4 linked regions of the Daphnia pulex genome follow. The protein of the gene in region 4 purifies or fractionates together with the protein of the main gene of each other region. This does not show direct contact. Links are inferred from orthologs where the notes say so. Each region holds a gene or a part of one and is shown on either strand. Other genes may lie near its edges. The genes, in order: RNA helicase aquarius-like, ATP-dependent RNA helicase DHX8-like, zinc finger protein 830-like and peptidyl-prolyl cis-trans isomerase E-like.

Region 1 (4,278 bases), on a different chromosome or scaffold from region 4:
CAATGGAATGAAAGTCTCAATCTCCAGGATCTGGGCCGCTTCTTCCATCAAGATGTTATCGTACTGCATGATGGATTAGAGATTAACCAACAAAACAAAACAAAAAATAGTAAATTGTTCAAACATTTCCAAAAATGAACACATCCGCAAAGAATAGTTTGACGTTGCTCACCTTGAAGCCGAGCTCCACCAGCTCCCTGCGCTTGAGGGCCGCGTGCGTACAGGTCATGGCTATAATCTTGGCCTCACGGACCAGCAGGTATCGCGATCGATCAAGTCCGCTTCGCAATAGCTCGAAAGCACGGAACTCTTCCAGTTGACTGAAAATCTTCCGAATGTAGCGCCAGCAGCCATCGGCGATTTCCATGTCCTCGACGTAGCTGCGACTCTTGAAAATGGGTTGAGGTGCATCTTCAAAGAATTTGGCGAACGGGAAAAGGCGACCGACATCTTCGATTGTGACTCCGCTGCTCTTGTCGCTCCGGACTCGGGCCAGGTATTCTTCCCAGCGGGCTAAAATGTGGAGGCGGAAGAAGTGGCCAGCTGTTTCGCATGTGTAGGCCACGTCACCGGCAACTCCGAGGGATTGCTGCAATCGCTGAACATGATCCAACAGCTCCAAGCGCTTGCCCAGCACGTAATTCACTCGACCGTATCGGCTAAAGTCCTTTTCCGTTTCGAGCTCCTCTTCACCGTGACCCATACGGAGCAAATGACGCTCGTCGATGTCTAGAGCCATGATCTTTTCGAACAATTGATTGAGAGCCATATTCGAGTGAGTGACGATAAGGGTCCGCTGTTCGGGAAAGTTGTGATAAATGTTGGAGATAATTTGGACTGCAACGTCCGTTTTACCCGTACCAGGCGGACCGACCACCATTGTCAAACCGGGCTGCATACCAGAACGGATGGCTTCGATTTGGGTCGGCGTGAAACGCACGGCATTCTTCTTGGGCTCATTAAACGGGTAAGGGCCGCGGCTGGGCATAACATGAGGTTCAACTAAAATATCTTTTCCTTGTAGATTGAAAGTTAACCGGAACGGTGGGGCCAATTTCGTCGAACCGTCTCGCCCTTCTTTCTCTTTTCCGTCCTCTTCATTAGTGCGGATTTCGTGTTCTGGAAAGCTTTCCTTCAGATGGGCATAGTCCAAGAATGTGTCGTTGAAATCCAATGCTGGAATTTGATTGGGCATTTTGGAGTAGTGAGCCGCTCCTGGGTCACCGTAGCCGAGAATGATGTCGTGAAGCCATTCGGGGACAACGCAATCCGTGTTCATCAAGTCTCGGATTGTTTCCAGCACTGCTTTGAAGTTATTCTCCTTTGGTTTACGTCGCATCAAGATGTTGAATGAATCGTAAACGTCCTCCCCGTTTTGCGAGACGCGATCCATGTCCATCTTGTATTGATTGCAGTCCAACCTTTATAAAAGAAGTGGACGCATAAAGAAGTCTGATTGAAAACACCAACAGTCTCATTTGAAACATACCAAACGCGGAAGGTTCTCTGTCCTCCTGGAATTTTCGGTCTGGGATCTGGTCCTTCTTCAATAATTCTTCCAAGGTGATCCAACATACCTTCGATCTCACAGCCTCGGACGTAGACTAAACCAACTTGCGGAACGAATGGTTCTCTGAATTGATTTAAAAAAAAAACGTTAGTTTCATCTTGAACAAGAACTAAAACTTATCTAACAAAATACCTGAAGTTAAAGTGTGTTCCGGGTGGGCCAGGTGGCCGGACAGTGAGAAGAAAGCACGCATCATGTTTGCGCAAGTTCTCCCATTCGGACTTGACATCGTTACGGACGTCGAGGATGACCGAGACATCGGCGCGAACGCGTGAAGGCTGTTTTTCACCGATATTCGGTTTCCCTACTTCGACCACGGAGAAGGCAGTGATGGGCTGAGCCATCCTGGCCCATCCGCCAAACACCACGTTTCCGTCCTCGCCTTTCCACGGCTTCATGCGGAAAACAGAGTCCTCGATGTCCTGTCGGATTTCATAGGTCGACTCCAGTCGAAACAGGTTGAAGTTACGCAGCAGGTAATCGTGTAGCGTCAAGAATTGCAAGTTGAGTTTGGGCAAGGCGAGACAGCCCTCGCCGGAAAAATATTCAGTCGGCACGATGTTTTCGTTCCAGATGATATCCTCAGTAGGGTACAACGGCATTTCATTGAGTGCCTCCAGTTGGGAAGCGCGCCTTTCATGACGGGATATCTGTAATAAAAAGAATTCCAAGGGTGTATATAAAAAACAACACAACAACCTGTACTTTCTCCTGAATTACGCTCGTATGTTTTAAACTATTTTTTACTCACCAAGAGCTCCATAAGGAAATGTTTGTTTTTCTCATCATTATCCGAATTGTCTGGGGGTGGCAATAGCTTGAGGTAAGCCGCGATATCTTGCAATACCGTCGTACTGGAAAATTACAAAGTAAAATGTAATTTTCACGCCACAAGTTTTTGAAGAGTAAAACTAATCAAATTTCACAAACCTAAGGCTTTCGAAATGCTTGGTGAGCGCTTCACGGGTATTGATGCTGGCCACGTTGGTCAGCGCAAACCGCCTCAATTCAGAGTATTTGACAAACACGGCCTTCTGGAGTGCTGTGATGCGATCATAGTGGAGTTGCATCATGTCGTGGTCCGTCAACGGATCGCCGGTTTGATCATTGATTTCAAAACGGGCGTAGAATTTGAGCATGTCCAACAACTGAAACAAAAAGAATAGTGAGGAAACAAATAAATAAAGTTGTAAACAGGATATGAATAATGCATAGCGGCGAGCTCATGGGAAAAGAAACTTTTAAATTATTGATCAAAGTTTGAAAATTGCATGAACCTGCGTATAAAATCTAGACAATGCTAGCAGGATAAAACAAAAAAATTTCCACCCTTCAGGAAACTAACCGGAATATATATCGGTCCGGATTATAAGCCATCCTTCCCCTATTTCGAAATTGGAGAATAGAAGAACAACACAGAAAAAAGTGAGAAAAAAAAGAGGGGGAACGTGCCCTTCCATTTGAATTTAAGCGAAGCCTTGAAAAGGGATTGGGAGCGATAAGCGAAAAGAGAAGCGGCTGGAACACGGCACACCTGGGCGTGTTTTTCCCAAAGAGAACAAAAGCCCGTCACTTTCTACCTATTCTTATTTCCGCCGCAGGCTACAAGGTTGCTTGGTCGACCACATTTTCGATTCTGCTGTGTACCGACTATAGGCTACGCTCATTTTCATCTCCCCTGTCGTTCCGTCGTCTGTTGTTCCCTTGGACAGCGAGGGAGAGAAAAAGACAGAAAGCTTCGACACTTTGTTCAATTCACATCTGGAAACGGCCACAAATTACAACTCGGTGCTCAAAAGTGTTACATTTCAACGTAGCCAGACAGGAGGATGTCATGAGGCTGTGAAGATCTTCGAGATTGTAACGGGCTTCAAAAAGAGGAGCGGTCGCGTCGTCCTTGCGTCATCATGTCCGAGTGGACAGCTACACTGTTGCTTTTGCTGATCCATCAGTTGGCGTCATCGACAGGCTTAGAGAATCTGGAAAGTGAAGGGCCAGTCGTGGGTCACTGGATTCACGTTCAGAAATGCTGTCCAGAAGCTCACATGATGGTGGAAGTGACCAGCAGAACCACGGCCACCACCCACAGCACTGGCTCCAAGTTTGAATGTCAATTGCAAAACGATACATCTTTCCGGTGGGCACCCGATTTCCTAGACAACCATAACAACCTTCTGTCTTTTGAGGGAAGCCTGGATAAAGACAGTGCCGATTCGGATTTTAACATCACCAAATTCTGCATTCCAAACGGGCCTTGCATCTCATCCATCGTGGGTAAACCACAATGTGGACCGGTAAAGAAAAATCAAAACTACTAATTCATTCAACATTTTCATGAAAATGACATGTGTTTTCCATATACGCAAAAATTAGTTTCGAGCCTGGCCCATCTTTACATACGCCGGATTTCAGGAAGATTTACAACTAAGACCTTTCGGTGTCCTGCGTCACGTGGTGGACAAGTTGGCTGAGGTTCCTCGTCACCACGAATATCCACTTGATCAGTATTGCGTGGACGGTGTTAGACTTTTGGGATCCGTGTCACATTTCGGCCACGGATTACCAAACGGTGCCGAAAACACAAGTTCAGCACCGTTGTCGCCTCCGTCAGACGGCCCGGTCTACTACGCTCTCATCTGCGAGCCGGGCCCGTTGGATGAGAGCGACTTTTTCGAAATGTTTGTGCGAATTTTCTACCCCATCGGCTT
Region 2 (5,445 bases), on a different chromosome or scaffold from region 4:
GATGACAGTCACTTCACGCATGTACTCTTTTGTGGTTTGAACCAATTCATGGTAGACGACCCACTCGGGTTGCCGGTTAAAGATCGCGCTACTCGGGTGGATGTAGACCACCTGGCCGTCCACCAACGTCCGATAACCTTCTTGCGGATCCTTCTTGGCCGCATTACGGAAGAAACCCGAACAGATGGCTTTCTGCACCCTAGCCGTATTCTTGCCAGCCGATACCACGTCCAATTTGTGCCTGGAAAGTGTAGAAGAACAAATGTTAGATTTTTGAACGGATAATACAATTTGCATCAAAGACTAAACATACCTGTCCATAATGCCCAATAGCTGTTTACGAACATCCTGAGCTCGTTTTAAGGTACGCATCTGAACGAAATTCTCGTAACACCAGGCACTGCTAAACTTGTTGTTCTTCCAGGAATTGTAAACGGCCAATAAAGTGATGTGATCTCCTTCGGCTTGATTGAATTTGGCTTTCTTCTGATCAGCCAACTGTTGCTTATCTTTGGGTCGGTAGAAGACGTTCTGAACTGACAACATGGACACGACTGTCAAAATTTCGTCCGAACACATCTAAAACAAAAATTTTTAAAACGTCAATTACATCGATCAGGAACAATTGTTGATAATATCATACCAAGTGAACAGACATGATGAGCATCTTGGAGAGAGAAGGCTCCAGAGGAAATTCGGCCATACGTCGACCAAGACGCGTGAGTAATCCTTCGTCGTCTAGAGCGGAAAGGGAATGCAGCTGTTCAAGTGCCATGATAAGTGACTCCACAGGAGGAGCGTCCATGAAGTCGAAGTTGAGCAGGTCATTGATGCCCATAGCTTTGAGTTGCAGGACAGTGGAAGCGAGATTAGTACGCTGGATCTCGGGAACAGGCGTGGCAAGCATTTCATCACGATAAGCTCGCTCCGTGTACAAGCGGTAAGTCTTTCCAGGTCCAGTACGACCGGCGCGACCAGCTCGCTGCTTGGCTTGCGCCTGTGAAATGGGTGTCACCACCAAAGAGTCCATTCCGGTCTTGGAATTGTAGACTTTCTGCTTGACAAAACCAGGATCGACGACATAGTAGATACCGTCGATGGTAAGACTGGTCTCGGCGATGTTGGTGGCGATAACAACTTTTCGGGAGCCTGGTGGAGCCGGTTCGAAAATTCGAGTTTGCATTTCAGACGGTAGAGCGGAATAGACGGGAAGAATGATGAGCTCAGGAACGTCAGGGCCCATGGACTTCATGCGCTCGTATAGAATTTCGCAGGCAGTATCGATCTCTTCCTGACCAGTCAAGAAAAGAAGAATGTCGCCCGGTGGTTCGTTAAGGTGGATCTGCATGACGGTAATGAGCGAGGCATCCAAGTAATCCGTCTCAGGTTCCCGAGTATACAATATCTCGACGGGAAAAGTTCGACCCGGAATGGTGAAGATGGGCGCCTCGAAAAAGTACTGCGAGAATTTCACGGCATCCAAAGTGGCCGACGTTACGATGAGTTTGAGTTCGGCTCGCTTCTGGACGGCTTGCTTGAGAAGACCGAAAAGAACGTCTGTGTGAATAGTTCTTTCGTGGGCTTCGTCCAACATGATGCAGGAATACGATTGCAGATCGGGATCAATCAAGCATTCACGCAGCAACATACCATCCGTCATGTACTTGATCAAAGTTTCAGGACTGGTGCAATCTTCAAAACGAATCGTGTATCCAACTTCCTGTCCTAGACGACAACCAAACTCTTCCGAAACTCGCTTGGCAACGGACATGGCGGCCACACGACGAGGCTGCGTACAGCCGATCTTTCCACGAGCCGTGAATCCGGACTCGGATAGATATTGAGTGATTTGCGTAGTTTTTCCCGAGCCCGTCTCACCGATGACAATTAGGATTTGGTTGTCATTGACAGCTTTGATCAGTTCATCTCTGAGTTTGTAGATGGGAAGTGATTGACGTTGCTCGACGATGGACAAACTAGTTTTCTTGCCGAAAGAGGCTCCTTTCGGTCCACCAGTGATGTGCTTTTTCCATTCGGGCATGTCGTATACAGGGGCTCCCGTTCCGCGACCCAACGACGTTGACGGTGCAGCCCCAGCATCCGGCATGGGATCAATCCAGGTCTTGTTGGCGCCTTGAGCCGGTGCGTCAGCTGCTTCTTGTTCTTCTCTGAGCAACATTTTCTGTTCGCGGCGTTCTTTGCTGAGAGCGCCTTGCATCATGGCGGCTTGAGCTAGAGAACCGTCGGGATTCTTGACGATACGAACCGGACTAAGTTCATTAAGCACTCGACCGTGACCTCGAAGAAAGGGTGCCTCTTCTTCCACCAACTCGATTTCGATATCTTCTTCGTCTTCGGCCAGCTTTGGCAGTAAACCCGTTTCTTCGTCGAATTCGGGCAAGTCCATTTTGTCGATACAATTTGCTGCCATCATTTGCTTCAGTTCCCAGCGTTCAGGAGACGAAATCCGTTGCACACGCTTGCGGTTGGTTAGTTCATCCTCCTCTACATTTGCCTTCAAATCTAGCAATGAGAGAGGTCGATCTGGATTCCTTAAAGCTGTTTCACTTTCCTGGCTGGTTAGTCCAGGGCGGCTTGACGTCGAAGGAGCTGGGTTCAAATCTTCGCCAGTGTCTTGGTCCACATCTTTCATAGAAAGAGAGATCTTTTGGCCAGCAATGCTCATAACTTTGACATGAACCTTATCTCCACGATTGACAACTTCAGCCACACTATTCACACGGCCTTCTCGTCGCAACTGGGAGATGTGCACTAGACCCTCACATTTTTTCCGTATTCCTTCAATTTGTACAAAACAACCAAAAGCTGCAAGATTCATGATTTTTCCCGCGTAGACATTTCCCACTTCTGGATTCTCTGGAAAATCTTTTTGAGGTTTCTTTCGACTTGGGGATTCTCGTCTGCCTTCGTTACTTCTTTTATCATGATGACGATCACTTGTTCTGTTTCGATCTCCTCTATCTGTACTCCTGGACCTGTGACTTCTGTCCCTGCTTCTTGATCTCCTCTTTTGATCTCTGCTTCTTGACCTTCTACTTCGGTCTCTGCTTCTGGATCTCTTGCTGCGGTCTCTGCTTCTTGATCTTCTGCTGCGGTCCTTGCTTCTTGAACGTCTGCTTCTTTCCTTCTTGTCTTTACTCCTTGCTCTTTCCTGAACAGGCTCGATTGCTTCAGTAGAAATCTTTTCTTCTTTAGGAGCCATGGCTTCTAGTTCAGCCATTAAATCGTTAGCTTCTTCAACATCTTTAATAGTCAATTTTATGTCTTCGAGAAGCATTGTTCTTGCCTTAGGGTTATCTGCTAAGGCAAGACCAGGGAAGAGTTCCCGTTTCTTCTCTGTTTCTGCATTGTAAACTGTTTTCTTTACCTGGGCTAAGTTCACATCAGTTGTTTTCGAGTTGGCTGATTTCATGTGTTTGATAAGACGAAGCAAATTTGCAATGAGAGAGTCTGAAAACTCGGCGCCATTCTCCAGCATTACACTTTTGAACTCATCAAAGGTCTTGTGTTTTTCGGCCAATGCGATGATGAACTCTGCCAGATCTTTATCGTTGAGTCCCAAATGGTTTTCCAATTCTGTGCACACCTTAGAAACAAGCGACAGGTGTTCGAGTTTCTCTAATTCATCCATGATGATATAGGATATTTTGCCACTTATTAAATCATTTACAAATTGACAGCACAACAATTGGGATGGCGACGAATGTGGAAATTGACGAGCCGACGAAAAAACGAATGCTTTCGTTGTTAAGACAACGTTGCAAGAATGCTGTAAAAGAAAAATCAAAATTAATAGATGAACTGGCAACATTGCGCGCAAAAAATATTTACATTTTTTCGAAATGAATTTGTTAACTTTTGCGTTTCACAGATTGAAATGAAGAATTATCTAATCTTTCTCGGTTCTCTGCATTTTGTGTTTGAATTTGAATGAAACTTTTCCATGTTCATATTGAATTGGTATTCTAGACATACAGGTTCATTTTGCAAAATTCATATAAGAATGTAAACAACGCCGATGCTGCTACTAGTAAAAGACATTACTCATTAGTCAACAAGAGTTAAGTTTTTTTTAAATGAAAGTCTATTTGTCTAATGTCTATGATGATAAGATTTCACGAAAATGGGCAACTTAGTGAATTAAAGATTATAAACTAAGTTGCATCCATGAAAATGGTCAGCCAATTTAAAATTTATGTACAACACATTGTCAAAAGTAAAATTAAAAATATGACTTAAGCTACAGCTCTTCGAAAAAGGCCACGCGCGCTCCAGTCGATCCAGATTTTGACTAGGAAAAAAAGAAAAATTAACTCAAATTTGAATTAATGACTCTCATTCATGCGTACCTTTTTGAGAGTTGAGTATTTGTCGTCCCCTGAACGGAGTTGCTCTTCGTGTAGCTGATCGTAAAGCGTTTGTTTTTCACCTACTTTCAAGACTTCAATCTCTGTACGCAATTCTCTCAGTTGCTCCTGCAGTTGCTTCGATTTTTCCAAGTATTCGACTCTAAATTTATTTTAAAAAATGAGCAAACAATTACGCAACAATTCCTACGATAGATTTACAACCTCTCTTTCTCAATTTCAAGTGAGAGTTGCTCCATATCGCCATGTGTCATAAGGTCATAGTTGGATGAAGAGTTGACCAGTTCGGAAGCAGCAATAGCTGATAGATATCCACTACTACTTAAGCCAGTTAAGTTGGTGAGGCCAGTAAGCTGATTAGCCAGCGGAATAGGAAGGCGGGCCTCATAAGCCGGCAAACTTGCTTCGTTAGAGACATCGTCGAGTCGTCGTAAATGTTGCTGAATGTCCGACTGATGATGTAAATGGTGGTCTGATCCAGCTACCGACGAACTTGATGTCGGAAACAAGTTGGGAACAGACTGAAAAATGGTAATTGTAGTTATTCGCTCATTAAAATGTTGACAGAAACTGCAAAGTACCAGGACAGACGCGGACGACGGGATGCGTGTAATTGGACGAGATGCCGAGTGTAAGGCTGCAACACTAGCTTGTGTTGTTAAAAACTCTAGTAGCTTCTTTTTGGCTTGAGTTTCAGCGTAACGGGCCTGCAAAAGGTCACCTTTTAGCTGCTCTGCTTCTGCTGCACAACGCTCAGAATTCTCTAATAACCTTGAGGCAATTTGCTTCGCCTCATGTAATTGTCTCTGAGACAAAAGTTTTTCCTCTTCGGTCTAGACGCAAAAAGACAATTAAATGTAAAGCTACCTAAATAAGTTATGAAAAAATTCACTTACTTTCATGGCAGATAAACGAATTCTTTGCAACTCTTGTTCAGCGTCTGAGGCTTTTTGAGTTAACAACATTGACTCTTCTTCTGCAACTCGCGCCTTTTCGGCCAGCAGCTCAGCCGACTCTTCGGAACGCCTCTACAAAATTGGTATAATGAAATACTGTA
Region 3 (5,570 bases), on a different chromosome or scaffold from region 4:
AAATTCCTTCTGAAATCGTAGTTATCATTACTTAATTGATATCGAATTAGAGGCATCATAGCTTAATTAAAATTGCATGAACTGTCGCAATACTTTGTACACCCTATTTTATTTGGGGGCTGCACATTAAACTGTTGCCGAAGTCTTAACGTAAAATAATTTTCGGCCTTCGATAGGTGGAATTAAATCTTTTTTCTTGTGTGTCATTGTCTCCATGTTGCGTTCTACAGTTCGTTGGAGTGTGGTTGACCGTACGCTATCGCAATCAGAAAGACCCAAAGGGCCACCCCGGTGCTTTTCTCTAAATTCTTCCTACGAATCCATCTGCCGTTGATCCCCCGTTTGTTCTATTCCATTTTACCGTACCCTTTTTTCTCCTTCACACTTACCATCTTTGCATAACACTCATTCCTAGGACTCAAGGTACTGGTCTCCTCCATAACTAACATGTTCATCATTTTATGGCTTATGTGTTGTTTTGCTTTGAGCTTATTGGACACGGTTCTTTGAATTCATTTTTTGTAGGTGCTTTACCGTAGCTAGGCCTAAATTTAGCGTTATTATTATTGCCTTTGTTTTCTTAAGTTTTATCTAAATTGTTAAATTTAAATAATTTTTGTTTTATTTTCTGCAGCTTGTGGGATTCTCAGTCGCATATCGCTTCAGACACATGGCTGCTGGAATGAACGAGGTGCAGTGATTTTCGAAGACATGATTGGAAACTGTGTCAAAGCGCTCCCTACACTAGAATTTTCATCAGCTCCCATTCCACAATTAATTTTTTTTTATTATTTCGTCATGTGTGCTCATCGTCCTTATTGGACTTCAGTTAGCAAAAGTTTTATGTTTTCCTTTTTTCTCGGAATGATGCAATGCCGAAGTGGTGCGGGATATGCGTAATATAATTGATGTGGCAATAGATGTTGTTCAGTTAACTGAAATACATTATAAATCTAACTATCAAATCGTGCTTTCCGGTATATTTAACATCAACATTTTGCAGGACGTTTGTGGACAAATGATCATGTAGCCTTCGATCGCCAATCAAAGAATTTGTCCATTTCAGCGTCGTCCTCGTCGCTTGAACTTGTCTCTTTCTCCTCTACCATCGATTCACGAATAGCTCGAACACGCTGGCCATACAATTCTTTCTTTTGTTCCAGCTCAAGAACTCTCCCCCACTTTATCATTTGCTCTTCAATTTCTTCCAGCTGTCTTTCAGCTGTAGATTCTTCCTGATCTTCCTCTTGGATGGCAACTGATGCTGTAACTTCATCACCAATTTCTTTCTGGAACTTGTTCCACTCTTCTTCTACAGGGTCTTTGAATTCAATTTGGCGAACCTATAAACAAATATCAAGATATTAGGTTAAATAATAAGTAGAAATAACATTAAAGTCTTTGGCATTGAACCTTGGCATCCATCTTAGGGTCATCAAAAAATCCTTCAGGTATGGCATTAGAAGAAATAGCATCTCCTGGCTGTGAAGTGGATATTTCAGTTCCACTTGGTGTTTGAGAGGACACTTCAGGTGCATCGTCAGTTTCCATGTCCTCAATTAAGGTAGGTGTTTCAATTTTGACTACATTAGAATCATACTTGGGTTTTGTTGAGTTTTTTAGGATGCTTTTTATTGGCATTGGGGCAATGAAATTAGGAGGTTGGTTATCAAAAAAATCTTTCGGAACTCCTTTCTTGGATGGTGAAGCTGAGGAACCATTAGTAGTTATTGAGTCTGCTTTCCGTTTGACAGCAGGAATAATTTGAGGCTTGGTGAACTGTGCTTCAACTTTGGGATTTTTCAAAGAAAGCACTTTTTCTCGGTGTAGTCTTCCATTGACGTGGGCAGTCCAGACCAATTCATTTTTGACAACGCTATTACACACGATGCAAGTCAGCTGTCCAGCACTGTTGTACTTAGCTAGCGGTGAATCTATTTTCTTAGCAGATCCCATTAGCTTTAAGGACGATTTTGATGAACTCGATGCCATTTCAATCTTATGTAGAGCAACAACAAAGTTTAAAAAATTCGGTTGTACAGTTATTAATTTCGTCCAATTTTGCTCTTTCAAGTTTTAATCAAAACAACAGTTGTCGACAACTGCAGAAGCACCACCTGGTGAAGGAACTTGAGCCTATCGACCTGTCATCTGGTAACCAAAAGTTGCAAATAAATTTGAAAATAATTTATCAATTTCACACTTGAGCTCAAACACGGCTATTGTTTTATTCTTCAATGCATGCCTAATCATTGTCTCCGTGTCTCTATCCTACCACATATGCAAAAAGAAAAAAACTCAAACAGACTGACAATCCAAAAATTAAGACAGCCATTGGGTAGTGTTCATGCTTCGTGGTTTGACAAGAACACTTGTCTGAGAACGAAAATATGATCAAGAATGTTACGCCAGCCAATCGCTTGAAAAAATTTTCAAATTAAAAAAGAACTATTTGATATACGTGTTTGCTCTAGATTTCCCTGTTCCACTTTCCCCGACTCACTCTTTATTAGTCCACTCAACCTTTATTACCTCTGTCCCAAAAATCCCACTTTTTTCGCCCTGTGAATAAATTTAGGAATAAATCACGAGGAATAAAGTCTTTTTACCCAAAATATAAACATATTAATTAATTTTTGATCCATATAAAAAATATTATTATTCAGCCATTTTCAGTTTTCAAGCATCAAGTTTTCAAAACATATTATTTGAGCGGTATCTGGAATGCCCATGTGCCATTCAGTAAATTAATTAATCCCAATAGCTTTATTAACATGCAAGTGTCCAGTCTGTATCTAGTTATACCTTCACCAAGCCTTTCACTTTTGTACGAGATCGTTTAACTACTGATGTTTCGATTAAATAACACACTAATGTACAGAATTCCATAAGATTTAAAATTCTTATAGATTGAGATTTCTGAATTTGGCTCGGAAAAATTGGATTGCATTTTTTACTTGAATTTGAATGGCTCAAACGTTAACGCGCATGTAAATTTTTCTTAAATCCATGAAGTCCTGTAAACAGAAAATAGTTACCAACTCCCCGACAAAATGTCGTGACCCGTGTGTCATGCTTTGTTCATTATTTAGTCGCTTACTTACGGACGTTATCAACGGTTTTCATGTCCGGTTCAGAATTTCGATGAGAATAATAGAAATGTAAAGAGAACCTTCTCCTTCTTTCTCTAACGTCCCATTTCACTAGAACTTAACTTGCCATTTTTTCATTCACATTTTCAATGAACGAGCTCAACGCTCCAGCTCATCCTCAGTCCTTTACTTTAAAGAATGGAAAAGGGACAGCTTAAGTAATCGTTTGCCACTTCCGGCATGTTGAAATCGGATATCTCGTTTGATTTCCTTATCACTCGTGGTAGATATAGTAGTCGTACGTAGATATCGCTGTATGAAGTGTACACAGGGATATTTCTCGACGTGAGGGACCTTTACTAGACCCAACGGTCATGACCTCAGAGAGGGGAAGAGATTGTTGTTATCTACGAAGATCGGGTTTCCAAATGTTCAGGAGATCGTTTATATAGAAAGCGCCTTTTGTGAACAGGCCTTTTAGCCGCACAGCTCCATCGAGCGCATCAGGTTGCTGTGCTTTTGCCGTGAGAGTAAAAAAGACGTACGTACTATATACTGCGCGAGAGAAACCTGAATAGCGAGCATCTATTTCCTCGTTCCTTACTAGGCTACTTCCATTTCCATTCTTTCATTTAAAGCAATGGTAGTGTTTAGGAGAATTATGGTTTTTCGAGAGTTGAGCACCAGAGTTATTTTAAAAATATGTTTAAAAAAATTAAGCATTAAAAGTGAATGCCAAAGGATGATTACCGTAGGCAGGAGAGTTATGTCATATATTATGTAGAAACTTCTAGTGATAACACGCTGGCCTTTTTTGTTATTTAAAGAAAAAGTCAAAATTATTCAGTACGTAAGAAAACTTGATTGTGACCTACGAATGTTATACACATTACGATTACGTTTCCTTGGCTCACTACAGAATGAATTCTGTAGATTAGATTTATTGTACAGAGTAAAGATCGACATCGTTAACCCGAGAAAGCTCAGTGCGCATTTAATAAATTCAGCTGAAATTTCTATATACAGCATCATAACTTGTTCTCCCTTATATGCGAATGTATAAGCCAGTGTAATGCCAGCGCTGACTATATAATTGAATTGTATCAATATTAATATTAGCTGTTGGCTAAGTTAGCGTAAATTAGGTTTGACTGTGCCGTCTTTCCCAGCACATCCAGCGTAAACACCATTCATGCGGAACTGCAGCTATCATTATATATCAAAATGTCCCGGAAAATTGAAAAATCACTGTTGACAGTATATCACTGCATTTCAAACTAGGACGGAATAACATGAAACTTCGTTTGAATAACATGGCATATTATTTATTATCCTCATTTATGTACAATTCATGAATCACGATTATGAGTTATTTTTGTTCGGTAAGAAAGTAAACATACAATTAAATCAAAATCAAATCAAGACACCCATTATCACGTAGTTTTACCGAGTTTTACCAAGGTCTCCATACTTTCATACGATCCGCATCCGATTTCAAGGAAGGTGATGAAATATGATCGTCATACAGGCTGATTTGATGTCGATAAATAACTTCGGGTGAATGTTGGTAGTGTTGGTTGGAAGTCAAAGAGCTGGAAGAACAATCTGATGGAAAAGCGCTGGTTGATGGGACACCACATGCAAAAAGTTCCACGATATTGGCATCGCTCGTCTTCCATTTTCTCTCGCATGACATTGAAGAAGGGACCACCTGATGATTTTCCCACTTGTTGCCTTGATTCAAGTTCTCAGCTGACAAATCAGGAGATCCGAAGAATGGAACGGACTTGAAACCGCAAGTCCAGCGAGACGGTATCACGTTGAGCGCATTGCTCGGTGAAGAATTCGGCGTTGATGTTAAATCAGCAAAGCTGTTGATTTCGTTTGAAAATGACCGTCGAGAGCACGAGTCCCGACTTTCCTCCGATGTTGAAGGTGATGAACAAATACGATTTGCAGGTGAAGAGCTGTCCATGACAAATTCGGAAGGGTCCATGTATTTTTCTTCAAACGATGTGCATGAGTCGCTTCCGAGCGAAGGTGAAAGCGATTTTCGGTTGGTCAGTAGTTCGGGAACTAAATTAGTTAAGCATCGGTCAAGATATTGGCCGACTCTTTTTTGCAGGTCTCCTTCCATTGCTTGCTGGGGTTGATTGTGTAAAACTTCTCGAACGATGCGAGCGCACTCGATGAACCCATCTTTAAACCTTGACGATTGATTAGATCTTGGCGAAAAACCATTAGGGATCGGGCAGCTAGTGCTTCCATCATTTGAATTGTCCCGCATGTTATTACGTCGTTCCTTGTGAAGCTTCTGGACGTAGTTTACAGTTAGTTCTAAAACGTCGGCCTTCTCCAGTTTAGCCGGTCGGGAACCCTGAAATTTAAAATTTTTATTTAGTTCCAGCTTCGTTTTTAATAACACTTTAAACAGTTAAAATATAATGTAAACGAATGCAATATGTATAATACACACCT
Region 4 (4,794 bases):
AAAATCCATACTCTAAAAAAAGTTTCATGTTATCGTGCGGCCCGTAATTTATGAAAACTTGTTGATATTTCTTGATGTGTCTATCTGACCGTATTTCATAACATTGGGTAGTTTTGTTAAAACCAGCTTCAACGACTACTTCTGCGTCGTGATTAAACATGTCTAAATATGGAGCTAAGGCCATGTTATTTTCCATTCCATCCACCTTGTTCAATCCATGTGAGTGTTGTTTAGAATCTTGATAAAAGACTGCTCTTGTGTTGACACAAAACCAAGCCCACTGGAAAAGTTCGAGTGAGAGGGTTGAGCCGTATATCTTTCTCCATATTGCAAAGATTTTTTCATATTTTTTTAAGACAAAGTTTTGATTACACATTATTTTCTCTTGAAGAAAGCTGGGCAGGACAGCTATTTCTTGGCTTTTACACAATCCACCAACTGAGAAGCTCTTTGGTAATGTTGAAATGTATGAAGAGTACAGTCCATTAAACTTGGAGTTCAAAATGAAGAAAGTTAGACATTCTGCTGTAGTCATACTGAACTGTAGTAAGTCAGGAATCTCTGCCAAAACTTTTTCTTTAGTGATAAGAAGACTTTGGGGGATCTGGACTAGCAGATGGTTAGGAGCTATGTTAGACATAGCCATGAGACCTCGTCCAGTGCTATTAAACAGAGCTGGCTTTGTAACTAAACAATTTTTTGACACAGCATTCCAACCATTCGCACTCATCCATTTACAAAGTTCAACGAATTCTGAATGTGAATCAATCCGAAGTGGGCGAGAATGCACAATTCGAACCAACCTGTTTCGGATTCTAGATGTTCGTCCCATGTTTTTTTATAATGGAAATATATTTAATTTAACACCACAACTTTATACCACATTCATATTCTCACAGTTTTTCAATAAACTCACGGCGGTTTTCTTTTCGAATAGAGATGAAACAATTGGTTAAAATGAAATTTACGGCTGCTTACACTTGACTTCAAATCTTACTGAGTTTACACTTTACACATTTTGTTTACATCAGAGTGATCAGACGACTATGAGTTGACAGTGACAGGAATAGGGACGGGTGGGTTGAATCCGAAGTGGCTAGTCCGCTTTCATATGTATGGTTTGAGATGTAGCCCTTTACGCACCAGGAAGTGCTTGATTTCTAGTACATCTTTTGGATCCTAGGGCAAAATGCACGCCACTAGAGGCGCTATGCCCACGAAGTGAACGAACTAATGCTTGTCGCTTGACAGCTCTTTTTATACTAAATGCTATCCAGCACTCCCTAATGCATTAAAAAGGACGTTGCCTTCCCCCAAGCCTAGAGAGTAGAGACGTAGCAGTAGATACGTCTAAATAATTTTTTTACTTGACATAAATCATTTTCTATGATAGCCTAGCCTTAAGCCCTTAACTTTCCAAATTAATTAAAAAGAAAACCGTTATTCGTACGCAGGTACACTATCCCTTAACGGAAGTGTGAAAAAACAGGTTCGGTTTTAATTGAATAACTGAAACGCTATTCATCACAAAGAGAAAGATTTGAAAATAAATGCGGAACTTGCATTTGAGACAACCAGACGTCAACGAAAAAGAAGTGCGCGTTATTAAGATCTACCTCTAAAATTTATGCGATCTCTTTTGTCGTTAAAGAAAATCGGCCCAAATATTATATATTTTGAGATAAAATCCGCGGGTTAATGTCAATGGATTTATTAGATCCAATTCCTTGTTGTAGTTATTATATACCAGAGAGATGTATATTTTTCCTATATCACTGGCAAAACCAACAGTCAGATTCACGTCGATGTCCGTTAAATTTTTCTTAAATTTTTGGTTTAGTGCTTTAGTCTCAATTTTAAAAAAATTCCGCGATCCTCCCATCAGATACCTTAAAGTAGCAGCGAAGAAGCAACAAGTTTACTAGTTTTGGAGTAGCCTTTTTATTTTGCGTTTATTTGAATTTATTTTGATTCAAATAAAATAATCTGATGGGCTATTTGAATTTGGAAAAATCTCCAAAAAGTCGCTAAAAAGCGGAACAGCCACTTTGGTTCTAGCTCTACTGATCGTATAACGAAGCGAAACATGCTGTCTGCAGTCTCTGCACTCTGACGAACGTGTTTGACTGTTTGCCCACGCCAGTTTTCAGTTTGATTAGTCTGCAACCTGTGAATCGGTATTTTATTATTGTCCTCACTGTGCATAATAATAAGGAAGGTTTAGACAGTGATATTTATATATTACTCATTAGCTTATGGGGATGCTTTGAACATTGAGAATTTCAATACTTTACGTAAAGTTTTTGAACACGTAACCTCGATTCTTGATAATCTTTCTTGTGGTGCATTCAAATTTGTGCCGCAACATGTCATCTAACAATGCCAAGCGAAACATCTATGTCGGTAAGATCAAATAACATATTTCAGTCTTACGAAATGTAATGCTTACTGTGATTCATTTTAACAGGTGGCCTTCCTGATGAGGCAGATGAATCAGTAGTGCGTGCAGCCTTTATTCCTTTCGGAGAAATTGTTAATATAGAAATACCTCCAGATTATGAAAATCATGAAAAACATAGAGGTTTCTCTTTTATTGAGTATGAACTAGCTGAAGATGCTGCTGCCGCAATTGATAACATGGTATTCTCACAATTTCTTACAGTTTATCTAGTAAACAAATATTTAATTACTTGCCATCATGGATGCCTTTCTTTCAGAATGATTCTGAGTTGTTTGGCAAAACAATTACTGTAAACATTGCAAGACCTCGGAAAATTAAGGAAGGATATTCTAGACCAGTTTGGTCAGAGGATTCTTGGTTGCAAAAATATGCTGGAAAGACAGAAGAAAATAAAAATCCAGTGGAGGAAAACAATAAGGAATCAACTGAAGGGAAAGACAATGTTTCTGAATCTGAAACTAAGTCAGCAGTTTCTAAAAAGCCTCGCGGCAACCCTCAAGTGTACATGGATCTTAAAGCTGGAAAAATCAATTTGGGCAGAATAATTATTTTATTGAGAGCTGATGTCGCCCCTAAAACATCTGAAAATTTTCTTGCTCTCTGCACTCATGAAAAAGGTTATGGATTCATGAATTCCAGTTTTCATCGTATTATTCCAGGATTTGTAAGCGGAAAGCTCAGTTTTAATCAATATTTATTTTTATTAACGTTCTTTTGCAAAAGATGTGTCAAGGTGGTGATTTTACTAACGGTGATGGAACCGGTGGTCGATCAATTTTCGGTGGAAACGGGAAATTCGAAGACGAAAATTTTACGTTGAAGCACAACGGTCCTGGTATTCTGTCTATGGCGAATTCAGGCCCAAATTCAAATGGATCCCAATTTTTTCTAACCCTTGACAAAGCAGAATGGTAGGTTTTTTCCCTGTTAAAATATCATAGTTATAATGCTAATAGCACCTTTATGTTTTCAAAGGTTGGATAACAAGCACGTCGTATTTGGTCAACTTCTTGCCGGCCTAGATGTTTTACGTAAAGTGGAGAAGTACGGAACAAAGTCTGGTAAACCGACTGACAAAGTCATTATGTCCGCCTGTGGAGAACTATTGTAACACATGAATAAAAGAAGCTTTTTTTTAACTACATTGTTTAATGACCAATGTCTTGTGCTCATGAAAAATATAAACAAACAAATTGATTGGACTACAGTATATTCCAACCCTCTTCCCTCCCGGAAAAAAACAAAAAAACAAAAGAAAAACATTAACGTCATGGGTCCTTTAATTTTCGTTGAGATTTTCATATTGATTGATCCAGCTATGAATCAAATCTTGGATGTAATTGTCTTGCAGGTCTTTGGGTATCCGCGGTCCCGGATAATTCAATTCTTTATTTAATGCGCCTGTTAGTTCATCTAAACAAGTAAAATAATTGGTATGTTTACAGGAAATTCCCAAGTTTGACATTTTTTAGACACTGTAAGGTATTTGAATGAAAAAAGATATTTACTAATATTCATATTAGGCCACAAATCTTGCTTCTGATTCATAATGGGAATTTCATTGGATATACGGCCAAAAGGTTCCTCCCCAACCATTGCCGCCCGACCAGACTTCGAAAGATATATATATTTTTTTTTAAGTTTAGAAATAATTATCTGATTTTTTACGTCTACTGTGGACTACACACCTCCGTGGAAATATCCTTGCGCCTACCCAAACGAGGAACCGCCTTTGATGCCTTCAGAAAAAAATTAGAGAGACTTCCTTCGTGAGGAAAAGATTCTGAATTCATGTATTCAGCGATGATTCCTTCACCTCGTCGGCCGATTCGAGGAATCTTTTGTCGAAACCTATTATAATTCGGATTAAACGGTTCCGGGCTGGGATCTGATAAGGCAGACGCCAGCAGTAGCCACGTTAAAAACAGTCCTTGATTTAACAAAACGACATTAGTTGGTTCACTTTGTACTGTAAAGCAAGAATTAAATTCAAATATAAAAACCTTTTATCATTATTAGCTCTCGATACATGATCACTGTAACAGGAATAAGTTGATCTCTGTCCAACTGCGACAACTGAGCGTGACAACTGAACGCAAAACTACCATCTAACCGTGTTATAAAGGATTTTCCCCATTTCCATTTTTTAATTTTACATCATGCGGATGACATACGGGTTTTGACATATGGGGACACAGTATTGCTATTGCCCCCATCTTTCCGTATTATTTGTTTCAGTGAGGTTGATGTCGTCAATAACGCAGCAGGACTTCACTGTATAATATACATAATAAAAATTACCATCACCAGCAGCATTGTCTGATACGGGTCGG

Evidence for each region.
Region 1: the proteins of peptidyl-prolyl cis-trans isomerase E-like (region 4) and RNA helicase aquarius-like purify together in Homo sapiens (affinity purification with mass spectrometry; 5 studies listed by BioGRID and IntAct, counting the BioPlex papers as one, with this or other methods). This does not show direct contact. The link is inferred for Daphnia pulex from reciprocal best matches to the Homo sapiens genes PPIE and AQR.
Region 2: the proteins of peptidyl-prolyl cis-trans isomerase E-like (region 4) and ATP-dependent RNA helicase DHX8-like purify together in Homo sapiens (affinity purification with mass spectrometry; 3 studies listed by BioGRID and IntAct, counting the BioPlex papers as one, with this or other methods). This does not show direct contact. The link is inferred for Daphnia pulex from reciprocal best matches to the Homo sapiens genes PPIE and DHX8.
Region 3: the proteins of peptidyl-prolyl cis-trans isomerase E-like (region 4) and zinc finger protein 830-like purify together in Homo sapiens (affinity purification with mass spectrometry; 3 studies listed by BioGRID and IntAct, counting the BioPlex papers as one, with this or other methods). This does not show direct contact. The link is inferred for Daphnia pulex from reciprocal best matches to the Homo sapiens genes PPIE and ZNF830.

Annotation. Positions count from the first base shown.
Region 1 is NC_060021.1:10,933,655-10,937,932, reverse strand, and holds part of RNA helicase aquarius-like, read right to left. Parts: coding exon of another isoform or gene 3,944-4,278; intron 3,865-3,943; coding exon of another isoform or gene 3,478-3,864; exon of another isoform or gene 3,164-3,477; intron 2,719-3,163; coding exon 2,501-2,718; intron 2,425-2,500; coding exon 2,322-2,424; intron 2,221-2,321; coding exon 1,703-2,220; intron 1,634-1,702; coding exon 1,490-1,633; intron 1,422-1,489; coding exon 173-1,421; intron 64-172; coding exon 1-63. Other genes in the region: probable G-protein coupled receptor Mth-like 5, read left to right, coding at 3,478-3,864, 3,944-4,278.
Region 2 is NC_060022.1:2,535,283-2,540,727, forward strand, and holds the start of ATP-dependent RNA helicase DHX8-like, read right to left. Parts: upstream 3,785-5,445; 5' UTR 3,653-3,784; coding exon 644-3,652; intron 580-643; coding exon 314-579; intron 242-313; coding exon 1-241. Other genes in the region: merlin-like, read right to left, coding at 4,262-4,312, 4,371-4,530, 4,593-4,909, 4,970-5,221, 5,285-5,416.
Region 3 is NC_060019.1:8,117,725-8,123,294, forward strand, and holds zinc finger protein 830-like, read right to left. Parts: upstream 3,288-5,570; 5' UTR 3,105-3,287; intron 2,152-3,104; 5' UTR 1,993-2,151; coding exon 1,414-1,992; intron 1,344-1,413; coding exon 1,023-1,343; 3' UTR 791-1,022; downstream 1-790. Other genes in the region: tetraspanin-31-like, read left to right, coding at 635-700; protein hairy-like, read right to left, coding at 4,546-5,469, 5,569-5,570.
Region 4 is NC_060020.1:8,628,872-8,633,665, forward strand, and holds peptidyl-prolyl cis-trans isomerase E-like, read left to right. Parts: upstream 1-2,067; 5' UTR 2,068-2,366; coding exon 2,367-2,403; intron 2,404-2,467; coding exon 2,468-2,640; intron 2,641-2,717; coding exon 2,718-3,125; intron 3,126-3,184; coding exon 3,185-3,372; intron 3,373-3,436; coding exon 3,437-3,572; 3' UTR 3,573-3,658; downstream 3,659-4,794. Other genes in the region: uncharacterized protein LOC124192235, read right to left, coding at 1-12, 90-99; uncharacterized protein LOC124191929, read right to left, coding at 3,741-3,874, 3,970-4,072, 4,150-4,391, 4,465-4,492. UniProt on the Homo sapiens protein: Involved in pre-mRNA splicing as component of the spliceosome. Combines RNA-binding and PPIase activities.